3 linked regions of the Callithrix jacchus genome follow. The protein of the gene in region 3 interacts with the protein of the main gene of each other region in a pairwise test. Links are inferred from orthologs where the notes say so. Each region holds a gene or a part of one and is shown on either strand. Other genes may lie near its edges. The genes, in order: FAM131C, P4HA3 and NDN.

The links.
Region 1: the proteins of NDN (region 3) and FAM131C interact in a two-hybrid assay, tested with the Homo sapiens proteins (2 studies listed by BioGRID and IntAct). The link is inferred for Callithrix jacchus from reciprocal best matches to the Homo sapiens genes NDN and FAM131C.
Region 2: the proteins of NDN (region 3) and P4HA3 interact in a two-hybrid assay, tested with the Homo sapiens proteins (2 studies listed by BioGRID). The link is inferred for Callithrix jacchus from reciprocal best matches to the Homo sapiens genes NDN and P4HA3.

The regions. Positions count from the first base shown.
Region 1 is NC_133508.1:53,397,981-53,402,696, reverse strand, and holds the start of FAM131C (protein FAM131C), read left to right. Parts: upstream 1-1,582; 5' UTR 1,583-1,821; coding exon 1,822-1,843; intron 1,844-1,966; exon of another isoform or gene 1,967-2,978; intron 2,979-4,716.
Region 2 is NC_133511.1:66,648,915-66,653,046, forward strand, and holds part of P4HA3 (prolyl 4-hydroxylase subunit alpha-3), read left to right. Parts: intron 1-895; coding exon 896-1,119; intron 1,120-4,132. UniProt on the Homo sapiens protein: Catalyzes the post-translational formation of 4-hydroxyproline in -Xaa-Pro-Gly- sequences in collagens and other proteins.
Region 3 is NC_133507.1:5,529,571-5,534,045, reverse strand, and holds NDN (necdin), read right to left. Parts: upstream 2,893-4,475; 5' UTR 2,805-2,892; coding exon 1,839-2,804; 3' UTR 993-1,838; downstream 1-992. UniProt on the Homo sapiens protein: Growth suppressor that facilitates the entry of the cell into cell cycle arrest.

The sequences.
Region 1 (4,716 bases), on a different chromosome or scaffold from region 3:
GAAAAAACTCAGAGAGGTAAAGCAACTTACCCAAGGTCACACAACTTGTGTGAGCTGAGCCCTCATTCACCCAAGTCTGCTGACACCAGGGCCAGGCACAGAACTGCTCTCCACCCAGACTTTACTGGACAGAGAGCACCCGGCTTAGAGAAAGAAGTCAGCAGCCACTCCCTGGCCCAATTGTCCCGGTAGCACCCCCTGGCCCAGATCCTGCCCCTCAAAAGGCCTCCATCCCCACCCCATGCTGCTGCCTCAACCCTTATTCATTATTATCATTATTATTATTATTATTTTGAGACAGAGTCTTGCTCTGTCACCCACGCTGGAAAGCAGTGGCATAGTTTCGGCTCACTGCAACCTCCGCCTCCCAAGTTCAAGTGATTCTCCTGCATAGACCTCCCAAGGACCTGGGATTACAGGCATGCACCACCACGCTCAGCTAATTGTTTATATTTTTGGTAGAGACGGGGTTTCACCATGTTGGCCAGGCTGGTCTTGAACTCCTGACCTCAAGTGATCCACCTGCCTCAGGCTCCCAAAGTGCTGGGATTACAGGCATGAGCCACCACGCTGGCCCCTCCTTATTCATTCTTCAAAACCCCTCTCTGCCAAAACCAGTGAACCTGGCTGCCTCACCTGGAAAACAGACACAAGAGTGGCTGTCCTGCCTGGTGCACAGGTGAGCGTGAAGGAGTGAGATACCATGTGTGAGTGAGGGTCTCAGACACTGGCACTGGGAAGTTTTGCTAAAGGATCTTCAGACCTCAGGAACTGGGATGTGTGTGTGTGTAAATGCAAGCATACATAAATGTGAGTGGATAACTCTGTCATTGTGTGGGTGTCAGTGGGGGTATGTACACGCGGGAGAGTGTGTGTGTATTCACGTGTGTGTGTTTGTGTATATAATGCAAGTGTGTGTGTATATGTGTGTGTGTGTATGACCACCAGTGTGTGAATGAGGGGGATGTACACATGGGAGAGTGTGTGTATAGGTACGTGTGTGTCAATGTGAATGACTACAGAGGTCGTCCAGTGCTGGGGAAAAAACCCGTGCCTCAGTTTACTCTGCCCTAGACAAGCCCTGAGAGGCAGCCTTGCCCCCATCTTCAACCATCGCGTTGGAGATCCCAGGCCACCAGCGCACCATCCCCACTCTCTACCCCAACTTTGGGCATGTATTATTTTGCATATGTTAATTTCAACAGCTCTGAATGAGGTGTTGACAGTCAAAAGTCGCTAAATTCATAGCTTAGGGCTCACAGGCAGGGCCTCTAACTTCTGCAAGCCTCACTTTCGCCCTCTGCAAAATGGGCCTAATGGAACTGTTGTTCTTGTGCGCACCCCTCCCCAACCCCCAAGCCCTCGTGCCCAGTTGTCGCTGTTGCGGTTAAATTCATCTTGTTTACTTTGTGCCCCAAATGTCAGGAGTCTCCCCGCCCCCTCCGTCTCCTTCCCTGACCTTCAGCCCTTCAGGGAGGTGCCGGAGACCCGAAGGGACAGAGGTGGTCCTCCCGCACTCCGCGGCCACAGGTGTGCCCAGGTCTCCCGGCTGCGCTTCCCCTGGCCCCGCCCGCCGCGCCCCGCGGTTTCGCCCTTCCCTGGCGGCGGCAGGCGCGGGGCGGGAGGCGGCGGCGCGAGGCGAGCCCGGCGCGGCGGCCGCGGGGACAACCCGGGCGGGAGCGGAGGCCGAGCCGAGGGCGCCCGAGCCCCCTCCCCGCGCGTCCTCTGGCTGCGCAGCGCTTAGCCCCGGGCCCGCGGAGACATGAGCGCCCCGCGGCCCCACGCACCCCGGGGACAGCGGCCCGGCCACGCGGCCCCGTGATGGGCTCCTGCGTGTCGCGAGGTGAGGGGGCCCGGCCGGTGGTGGGGGATCGGGTGCCAGGGACCCGCGCGGTCCTCTCGCCGCTCGGAGACCTGGGGGATGGAGCTGGCGACCCGCCCTTCGCGGCCCGGCCGCACCCTCGGGGACACGGCGTCCTGAGGGGGACAGGGCTGGAGACCGTAGGAGGCGGGGGCAATACAGCGCGCGTGCAGAGGTCACCGCATCGGTGACCCGGGTTCGGTTCGCAGCCCTGCAGGTGACACGAAGCAGGGTCCCGCGCCGCGCTCTCAGCCCTACAGCCACACACCCCCTGCCGGGTGCCTGGGAGGGGAGGGAGGCTCCGGTTCTTCCTGGCTTACTGGAGGAACTGTGGGGCACCCGGAGAACTAGCAGACCCTTCTTCTCCCACCCCTCCCCAAGACACAGGCCTTACCAGCTAACCCCCTCCACCCCTCCCCACACCTTACCGGGTACCCCCATCTGCAGAGCCCCGGAGCCCTGTTGGCAGGAAAGGGTTAATGGTGGGGCACAGGTTATCTAGAAGGTTCCCCTGCCCCAACCTTTATCCCTAATCCTCCTCCCCACCCCCATTCTTGGTCTGGGGACCGAAGGGCCAGAGCTCAGCTAATGTTCCCGGTTACCCCTGGGCCTTTCTGTGTCTGACCTGCCACCCTGCACTCTCCCCCAGATGATACCCAGGGAGGTGGAGGGTCCTGCCCTTGCTTGGGGTCACAGGGCAGGCCCCGGCCCCTTCTGTCTGTGAGGAGGGGATGCAGAGTCTTGCACAGAGATTGGGGGATGGGCAGGTTGGTCTTTGGAACCCCCTTCCTCCACCCCAAGCACCACCACCAACTTTCCAACAGACCTCTGGGCAGCATTTTAGACAGCGATTGGGCTAAGCCCTTCCCCAACCTTGGTCCATTCACCCCACAGTGGGATCAGGGGGTGTGGCTGGGAGTCGGGGTGGCTTTGGCCTTGGTTCAGGCCCTGTAGGCTGAGGCCAAACCCATGGATCACCACCACACCTGTTACCCCTAGTAGCTTATCGGGAATAGAGGGGACCTTGTCCTGGGGGTGTTGAGCAAGGAGCACAACGCCCTTCCCCCATCCTCTGGACTCTAAGGGCTTCTGCTTGGGAGTTTCTGTGAGCGTTCAGGTAAGTGGCTCAGGATGTCTCTGGGAGATGTCAGGAGTGGGATCATGGGTGAGGAATGGGAAGGTACAAGGTCACTGTAACTTCCCTGCCTTTCATGGCCCGGCCGCACCCCTGGGCAGGCAGTGTCCTGAGGGAGACAGGGCTAGGGACGGCCGGGGGGCGCGGGGGGCAGGGGGGGGGCAGCACAGAGATCAAGCATGCAGAGGTCAGTCACCGCAGGCATCCCTGCCCCAATTTGCAGCCCGGAAGGCAACAGGGTCCCATGCTGTGCTCTCATCCCTGCAGCCACACACCCCCTGCTGGGAGTATAAGGACTATATGAGGTTCCTTTACTTATCCATGCATTAGGCTGATATTAACATGATGCCCACCATGTGCCAGGCAGTGTGTGCACGCTGGACATCCAGCAGCGAGGAACCCAGCCCAGCACCTGGTCCAGGAGGCCCCAGCCTAGCGGGTGGGGAAGGGAGTTTGAAGAGTAAGGAGTGCTGGGGGTTCTTTAGGCCCTCAAGAGTCTGAGGGTGTCTCCAGAAACCCCAAAGGTTCTAGGCAGTCTCTGGCTGAGACCAGCTCCAGATTGAGGGAATCTGAGTGTTTCTTCAGTGGTCACATCCCTTCCCCTTCATTTGGCCACCCCATGCCAGGTGCCTTGGGGTCCCAGCCCAGGTGGACTGGCCTGTGAGCTGAGGACCCACTGAGCACGGGGCAGAGGCCAGGGAGGAAGAGATACCTGCTAAGGTCACCCTGAGAGGCTGGGGCCCAGGTCCTCTGACCCCACACCTGGGGTTCCTTCCACCGGCCCCTCTTCCAGGGTTCTTTGGGGCCACAGCAGGCAAGGTACGCTCCTTCCACCCTTCCTCTGCAGCCTGGGCTTCCCCAGTGTCCCCCAGATCTGACTCGATGGTCCAGCTTTGTCCCACTCCTGAGAGGACCAGGCCCCTGACAGTCTCGACATGCACCCAGGAGATTTGGGTAGAGGTGAAAGGAGTATGGGGAGCCACGTGGGCAGAGGACAGCCAGGGTCCCAGAGACTGGGTGGCTGCACCACTGACTGCCCCCGCCCAGCTTTCTCCTTGTCACTGATGCTCTCCGAAGCATACTAATCTGAAAGTTTTAAGCAGCTAAAGCTATTTGAGTTATATATGAGCACAGTCTCCATCTTACAAGTGGAAAACTGAGGCAGAGGGCAGTGGAGTAACTTGACCAGGGTCACACAGCTAGGAAGGTATAAACCAAGATTAAAACCATGGTGCTCTGACTCCACAGCCTGGGGCCTCGGTCTCTGCACTCGAAGCCAGCCCTCGGCCCTGTTGCCTGCACCTGTCTACTCTCCTGCAGCTGCAGGCTGCCGTGGGCTCCTGAGCTCCCACCTGGCCCCAGCACCAGCAACTGATTGCTAATCGTAGCCTCTGAGCACTGAGTGCCTGCTGGGCCAGGTGGGCACTGCTATAGAAGGAAGGGTGGAGGGAGTACCTCCACCCTTGGCCAAGGGCAAGGATTGCAGGCCTCAGGCTGATGCCCATAACAGAGCCCAGAGCTTGCACCCAGCTGGGGCCATGCAGCCAAACCCCAAACCCCAGGTCAGGCCACAACTGGGAGAACAACCCCATCCCAGCATCGGCAGCAGTTTGCTCCTGCATACTTGACAGAGAGGATATGAACCAGGACTCCACCATTCACTAGCTCTGTGACCTCAGCAAGTGACTTGACCTTGTGTTCCCATCTCTAAATTGGTGTC
Region 2 (4,132 bases), on a different chromosome or scaffold from region 3:
GACTCATGCCTGTAATCTCAGGACTTTGGGAGACTAAGGTGGGCAGATCGCTTGAGCTCAGGAGTTCAAGACCAGCCTGGACAATATAGTGAAACCCTGTGTCTATTAAAAATACAAAAATTAGCCGGGCATGGTGGCGCATGCCTGTAGACTTGGGAAGCTGAGGCACTAGAATCCCTTGAACCAGGCAGGTGAAGAGTCCAGTGAGCTGAGATCCCGCCACTGCACTCCAGCCTGGGCGACTGAGCAAGACGCTGTCTCAAAAAGAAAAAACAAAGAAGAAGTTTGTTGACTTTTGGGAAGTTAACAGTGAGAAGAGGCTGGGCGGAGTTGCTCATGCCTATAATCTCAACACTTTGGGAGGCTGAGTTGGAAGGATCACTTGAGGCCAGGAGTTTGAGACCAGCTTGGGCAATATAGTGAGACCCTATCTCTACAAAAACAATTATTTAAATTAGATGGATGTGATGTTGTGTGCCTGAAGTCCTACCTACTCAGAAGGCTGAGGTGAGAGGCTCGCTTGAGCCCAGGAATTCAAGATTGCAGTGAGCTGCGATCATGCCACTGTGCTCCAGCTTGGGCAACAGAACAAGATCCTATCTCTATTAAAAGAAAGGGGGAGGGGAGGGGAGAAAAGTTGTCTCCCTAAAGGGCAAGACTCCTGGAAACATACAGGATAGGACAATATGATAAAGCTGTGTGCCTTAATTTTTACTCCTCATTCACTCATTCTGAATATTCCTCATTCAGAAAATTGTATTAAGTATCCACTCTGTGTCACAAAGACAAATCCAATTTGGTCTCATTAAATGAACAGGTGGTCATGCCTTACATGTATTAAATGCTCACCACTTGTATCTTGAATGGCAGGTTGATGTTTTCACTACTTTTATAGCTCTGAAGGATGGCTATGAGAAGGTGGAGCAAGACCTTCCAGCCTTTGAGGACCTTGAGGGAGCAGCAAGGGCCCTGATGCGGCTGCAGGACGTGTACATGCTCAATGTGAAAGGCCTGGCCCGAGGTGTCTTTCAAAGAGTCACTGGCTCTGCCATCACTGATCTGTACAGCCCCAAACGGCTCTTCTCTCTCACAGGGGATGATTGCTTCCAAGTTGGCAAGGTAATAATATTCAGAGAGAGGGCCAATTGCTTGGCTATAGTTTCTTATGGATAAAATAACTATGTTCCGGTTGCTTTTACTTCTTTCTAATACTTAAACTTGGAAATTTGATATCATTTCCATTTTCAGAGAAAGAAAACAAGATTCAGAGAGGGGAAATAACTTGCCTTAAGATTACACAATTTTAAGTGGAGAACTAAAGCTTGAACCCAGTCTATTGACTCCCAATCTCAGGCCCTCTCTGTAGTAACTAAGGTGATTATATACTTAGGACACTCTTGAGACTGAAAGGGGTGTTATTAATTATGCTAGGACAACAGACATGAACTGGGGAAAACAGCCCTTTGGTCACCCTGACTATTGCACCCTGCCAGTGCATGAACAGATGGTTGAAAGGGAAAGCAGGGGGAAGGGAGGGCAAGGTTGGGGAAAAGGATAAGAGATGATGGTAGAAAGGTGGGATCATGGAAACAGCCTCCTGAGACTTTCTGGAATCCAACACAACATTTCCTAAGAAATACAAAATTAAAGTTGTGTCCAAAATCTAAGGCCATTCACTTTAACATTACTTGAGTAATTAGACTTCAGGAAATGCCCCCATCCCCATCTGAGTTATTTAACTGATCTTTGATTGTAAGTTGTAATCACACTTGAGATCATTTTATAATATACTCTTTGCCAGCCTTTGCCTTAAAAAGCAACGGAGCAAATCCTTTTTAATTTTGAATGTTTATTTCAGTAAGGGGTATTTTTCCTGACTCCTACAGTATTCATCACCAGATCTTGGAGTGGGTCTCATGTGTCCTGATTCCAGGTTTTGGGAGTCAGTCTTCCAAATTAAGGCAGAGTGGGTTGCTTGAGTCTCTCTACATGCTATTTTCTCTTTTCTGGGATCTTGAGCGGAATCAGAGCTCAATTATCATGTTCATGGCTGATTTAAATTTAAGCCAGGTAATATAGTTTGCTGTATGGTACTAACATATGCTTCATTAGTGAGGCCTTTCTGAAAGTAAAACCGTATGTTGAAAATGTAGTAAGTCACTTCCTGAAAGTCTTACTGGCAATCTTTCTTTCTGTATTTATTTACTTATTTTGAGACATAAAACTTTTCAAATATAAGAAACGAACATAAAATAATATAACAAGCAATTATATCTATTATTGTAATGAATATATATTCAAATTTTGCTTTCTTTCTTTAATATTTAAAACAACACGTTTCATACAGCTAAAACCCCACTCATCCTCCTCACTACTCACCACCCCATCATCCTTCTGCTGCATCCTTGCCCAGATAGCCACAATCCTGAATCATATAGTATGTGCCCTTCTGAGTCCAGCTTCTTTCACTCAGCACATTACATCTATGGAATTCATCCATATTGTGTCATTTATTAGTAGTTCATTTCTTTTATTGCTGAGTAGTATTCCATTCTATGAATATGTCACAAACTACTGATCCAGTTTTCTGTTGACAGATTCTTGGATTGCTTCTAGTTTGGGCTACTGTGAATAAAACTGCTATTAACATCCTTTTATGTCCTTTTATGGACATTTATTCTTATTTTCTTAGATGAATACCTGGGAGTGGTATTGCCAAGTCACAGAATAAGCTTCACTAATTATCAACACATGGCCAAATTTGTTTCATCTATACTTCCCCAATTATTTCTTCTATAGATTATTTTAAAGCCTTTCTAGTTTATGAAATTCTTTTTCTTTTTCTTTAGGGTTTTGCTCTGCCATCCAAGCTGGAGTGCAGTGGCACAATCAAGGCTCATTGCAGCCTTGATCAAAGTGATCCTCCACCTGGGAAGTCTTAAGTGATCCTCCCACCTCAGCCTCCTGAGTAGCTAGGACTATAGATGTGCCTCCAGCTAATTTTTAGTAAGGGTCTCACTATGTTGCCCAGGATGGTCTCAAACTCCTAGCCTCAAGCGATCCTCCTGCCTAGCCTCCCAAAGCACTGAGATTACAGGCATAAACCACTCCACCTAGCCTATCTTCTGAAATTCTTAATTGTCTAATTCTGTCATCATACTATTGTGTCTGTTGATTCTTGCTCATGATAGATTATTTCCTAATATAATTTGTCGTGTTTGGGAGCATATTTTCAGCAGGACATTTCCCCCTAAGAGAATCAATGTGTCCAGAGTTGTAGGAATATCCCTCCAGAGACTTTTGGGTTTTCTTCTTCCTGAAACTCTGGTGCTATCACTGGCCTTAGATATATTTTTATATTTATTTATTGACCTAGGAGTTCCTTGACCATATGAATATTGCAGATTTAATCCCTATACTCATATGAAGTAGAGGCTCAAAATTGAGAATATTCTTACACAGAGCTAGGCAGAAACAAACAAATCTTCTTGTCTCATTAAGCCAGCAGGCAAATTTTTTTTCTGGTCTACTTTTTATTTTAAGGTTCGGTTTTTTATAAAATCTAGTTTCATGAAGTTGTCTTAGTTTCAGTTCCCGGGCTTGGGGCAAGTCTAAGGATGGCTCATCTTCTATCTTCAAATGGGCATTATAATGCAAGGTTACTGAACACCAAGGTTACTATGAGTAACACGCAGCACCCATCCTAGGGAACGTCAGCATCTGCTCATAAGTTTATGGTTTGGGCTTTTAGCCCTTTTTGTTTCTGGTACCTGATACTCTCTGTTTTTTCCTTGAAACTATATAATAAAATGCTTTTTATAGTTTATTCAAAATGTCCGAGTGTTTGTATTTGGAAGGATTCCAGTTGTTTCAGTCTACCGTATTGCTGGGACTTCAAGTTACTCATGGAAATTTTAAACAAATTAACTTGGCAGGAAAAGTTCAGTCATTTTTAGCATTTTTTAGCTTAACCTTTTTACAAACAGGACTTGAGGTACAGAAAAAATAAAGCAACAGATTAATGGCAGACCTGGAGGAAACATGATTTATTATTTAGTCTGCAGAATTGCAGTATCTCTAGGATTTTTCCCTATCAGGAAGTTATACCCTAATTAGATCATTAAGAGTTCTT
Region 3 (4,475 bases):
ATAAAAATTGTAATTCCTTTTCCCTAATAAGACTCCCAGTTTACTTCTTTCCGGTGTTACGTGATGCGTGTCCTCTTTATTACCCATCTTCCCCAGAAAACTTTCTGGCTTTGGACTCTTTTGTAGTTTAAAGGACTTCCAGTCTTATTAAAGGCCCTTTTCTCCCTGCTACCCCTTGCAGGACTGAAAATTCACAATGATATTTTTCTTTGGGCATTGCCCCTGGAGCCCACCTGAAGCCCATCCCATCCTCTGAGGATTACCTGATTACCTCGCAAATCAAGGGCTGCCAGGTCACAGATATCCTGATGGGCAACCCCACCCCCCTCTCCCAGGTGTCTTGTGTGTTTGTCAGAGAAAGCACCTTCACCTCCAACCCTCAGGAAACACTGTTTCAAATCCAGGCTTCACTGCTAAACAAGAATGAATATCACTTTCTTATGTTAATTAATCTCTCCACAAAATATTTTTTTGGCTGGAAATTCCAAAAACAAGATGAAAATTTCTTAATTTACACAATCAGAATAATCTTGCTTTCTCCAAAATATTGTGAGAACTAGAAAAATAAAATTCCTAGCCTCTCTCTCTGTGTGGCCCATGAATGCATGTGAGTGTGGGAGGTGGGAGCTGGGAGTGTGGGCTCCCACGTAAAATGTAAAAATAAGTTTGAAAATAAATAACCTAAAAGCCACAGGGTGTATGAGGGATTGTAGGCAGGTGGGGACAAATGTGGGCTCTGGATTCATTCTGAGTTGAAGTGCCAGCTCCTTCTCTTGCTAACCTTTACAAGCTATGGAAAGTTAATTACCTACATTATTCCTGTTTCCTCCATGGTGCAAAGGCAGTAGATGCCTTCCTCACAGGCCTGTTGTGAGGGTTAAATAAAAGGGGAAAAATACATGTTAGGGCTGAGTACAATGTCTCACTCTTTAAGTGCCCACAAGACATCCATTAATTTTGATAAAATATAGAAACTTAAGGGAAGGAAGTTATTTTTAGTTTTTATTCTCATATGATGTGATGATGGACAATCATACTGCTTTGTTTTTATACTTTATATTTGTGCATGTTTTTGAAATAAACAATTACATTTAAAGACAATAAAACTATAACCTTCACAAATTTAGGAGTAATCACGAGTAGCGATTTTTCCCACCCTATTAGGGGAAACAGTTACATCTGTACACATTGTAAAATAGAGAATTGTCTCATTCCCAATCATAGTGCTCTGTTAAAATGATAAGAGTACACTTTTCCAAAAATGATTGTATCACAAGAATCTTTAATGTTTACTTTAAAGTTGACTCACGGTAGGGTTGTATATGTGTTTAGTAAATTGTGCCAAGTGCTCACATTGAGACCAGTCCAGTTCAAATCAGTTTACTCCACGAGAATGTCTTCTGTGCCCAGCAAGGTCACGAAGAGCCTTGACTTTTCTCTTGGTTAGGCCAGCTTTGCTGGTGAGTTCTTCCAAACTCTGCAGGAGCAGTCTACCCCAACACACATCACCAGTCCCATATAAAATAATAAGATGCAAACTTTCTCAAGGTACTTCGTCAGTTTAGCATGTCTCAGGTACAAAAATCCAAGAAAGGTAGCACAAAAGCGAAAGCACCAACCAAGCTTACATATAAACAAACATGCATACATCCTAAATACTACACAAGAGTACCCAAATGAATACAACATTGCATTAAAGGTATAAAAGCACTGTACTGAAAACTTAAAAGTTACACGTGAATACTGCACTGTAAATCCCGAACACTCTAATGACCCACCCCCACCCTTCCACAGCCCCGGTGAGGGTCAGAAAGCATTTCATCTGCCTCCAGACCTTGCTAGTCCTCGGAGACACTGTTGCGGGGGCAGTGAGCAGCGGGATTAGCCTCCCGCAGAGCTCTGGCCTCCTCCAGGGCTTCTCTGTATCGGGAGGGCCAGGCCTGGGGGTCTTTCTTAAAGACCCTGGCCAGGAACTCCATGATTTGCATCTTGGTGATTTCACGGCTGGCCCGGGAGCCCCAGAAGAACTCATACTCTGGCGGCTCCACGTACGGGACGCGCTGGTACTTCAGGTAATTCTGTTGGACGAACTCCTCGGTGATGAGCTTTCGCACGTCCCCGAAGGTGGAGTGCTTCTTCCAGGGCCGCAGCCCCAGGATGCGCAGCACGTTCCAGACGGCGCTCTCTCTGGCGCCGCGGCCCTTCACGTAGATGAGGCTCAGGATCATGAGCAGGAGGCCCGTCATGGGCATGCGGTTGCTCAGCGCCACCCTGTCCAGCTCCTCCGGCTCCAGCGCTTTGACCAGCGCAAACTCCATGGTGTGCAGGCTGGTCAGCCTCAGGTGCAGCCCGAACACCCGGGCGAGGATGAGGCTGGTGCGCCGCAGGATGCTCCTGCACCACTTCTTGTAGCTGCCGATGACATCTTTCACCATGTCTGGAAACCAGATGATCATCTTCTTCTGGTCCTTGACCAGCACGTACCACATGAGCTCGTGCGCCTTCTGCACCAGCTGCGCCGGGGCGGGCGGCGCCGGGCCGGGCTGGGCCGCGCTCGGGGCCTGGTGGGCGCGGCCCTCCTCTGCGGCCTCCAGCAAAGCCTTCGGGTCGACCTCCTCGATCGGGGCCTGGGGCGGCTGCGCGGCCTGCGGGGCGGCCGTCGGGCCTAGGGGAGGGCTCTGCGGCTCCGCCAGGGTCGCGGACGGAGGAACCCCCCCCGGAACCCCAGGGCTGCTCTGCGCCTCGGAGCTGGGTGCCTCGGCGGCAAAGCTAGGGTCGCTCAGATCCTTACTCTGCTCTGACATGTCTGCGCCGTCTGGCAAGGGCAGGGCCTCTGCGTCCAGGAGCTCTTCGAGCCTGCGCTCCCTCCGCGGACTCCTGGAGAGGAAGTGCGCGTTGCTGCGCGCGGCGCCTTCCGCAGCGGCGGGCAGGGCGGGGCGGCGGCGGGACGCGGCACTGCGCCTGCGCGACCGCGGCCAGGGCGGGCGGGCGGCCGGGGGCGGGCGGGGCCGCGAGGGGCCCCGACGGGGAGGGTCCGCGGTGAGGCGTCACCTGGCGGGACAGCGATCCCGGGGTTTCCTGTTCCGGCCGAGGAAGTTCAGGGTAGGAGAGGAGGGAGATGGATGCCTGTGGAGAAGGAGCAGGTTTTGGGGAAAGATGATAACTCAGGTTTTGGGGATGCTGGGGTCGACTTTCCTGGGAAATGCTCGCCTGGGTATATCCAGAATCCAGTTAAGTATGAGAGCCCCAGAGGAAGGTCTGGGAGGCTGTGCAAACTGGAGCTTTATGTGAACGAGTGAGAGGAACGGTCGGGCTGTCCGAGAAGACGTGTAAACTGTGAGGCGGATGTCCGAGGTTGGAATCCTGAGAAATTCCAATAAAAAGTTGATTGACTCCCTCCCTACCACATCAGAGGGGTTATAAGGAAAGGAGAAATGCGGTTATAAGGAAAGGAGAAATGCAGCGTGTCGTTAACGTGATTTCCTACCCGCGTGAGCCGTGAACTTGTTCAGGAGGCAGTGGGCTTAGACCATCATTGATGCTTTCATGGGCATAGGTTTGGCTTTTACACTTACTTTGAGTCACTTTGATTCCATTTTCTTTTATTTTTCCATGCTTAGTCCATAACAGAAGGATTGCCATATCTATTAGCACAAACTTGTATGATAATGCATTTTTCCCTCTGCCCAGCACCTCATTCTCCGATTCACCTTCTCCCAGGACCTTCTCTGAAGCTACTGAGTCCTCAGTGTTGGGAGTCACACCCAAATCATTCCTTCCTGAGATCTCCAAAAAGATATAGGTCCCATGGGCAATATCTGGCGGTGTCTCAGATGACCAAAAGGTAGCGGGGGCAACATATGGATAGCCCTGTTTTCCAGTTATAGAAAACAGATTCCCAGTGGGCCAAGGCAAAGCTGTCACTCCTAGAGGCTGTCCGTGGAAAAAGGGGCATTGCTGGAGCCTCCACAACCAGGGGCCTCCATGCTGCTTCAGCATCCTTGGTCTGCGTTGATGTGGTCCTTCAGCCCTTGCCGGGTTCCCTCTCATCAGCAGCTTCTTAAATATGTTGTCTCGAGTCTAGTTATTGCCACTTGAAGCCCAAAGCATGTTTTAAAATTGTCTTGACATGTCTAGAGTCCTCACTATGAGTATCTATCTTTTCTCATTTGTCACTTTAATTTTCCTCAAGCAGGTTGGTGTTGAAGGGTTTTCTGTGCTTTCTCTGGTTGGGTTGGCATGCATGTGACACTTTTGACAGGGCCATTCCCACGCCAGTCCCTCCAACAGGACTCTTTGGTCTCTTTAGCTTCCCACTCCACCAGGGAAATTCATAGATATCAGTCTTACTTGGAATTATTTCAACACTTTTCTCTTCCTCCTCCTCCTCCACCTCCACCTCCTCTTTCTTCTTTCCATCTACTTCTTTTTCTTCTCCTTCCCCTATTTATGGATATCTACCATTTTCTTGGGAG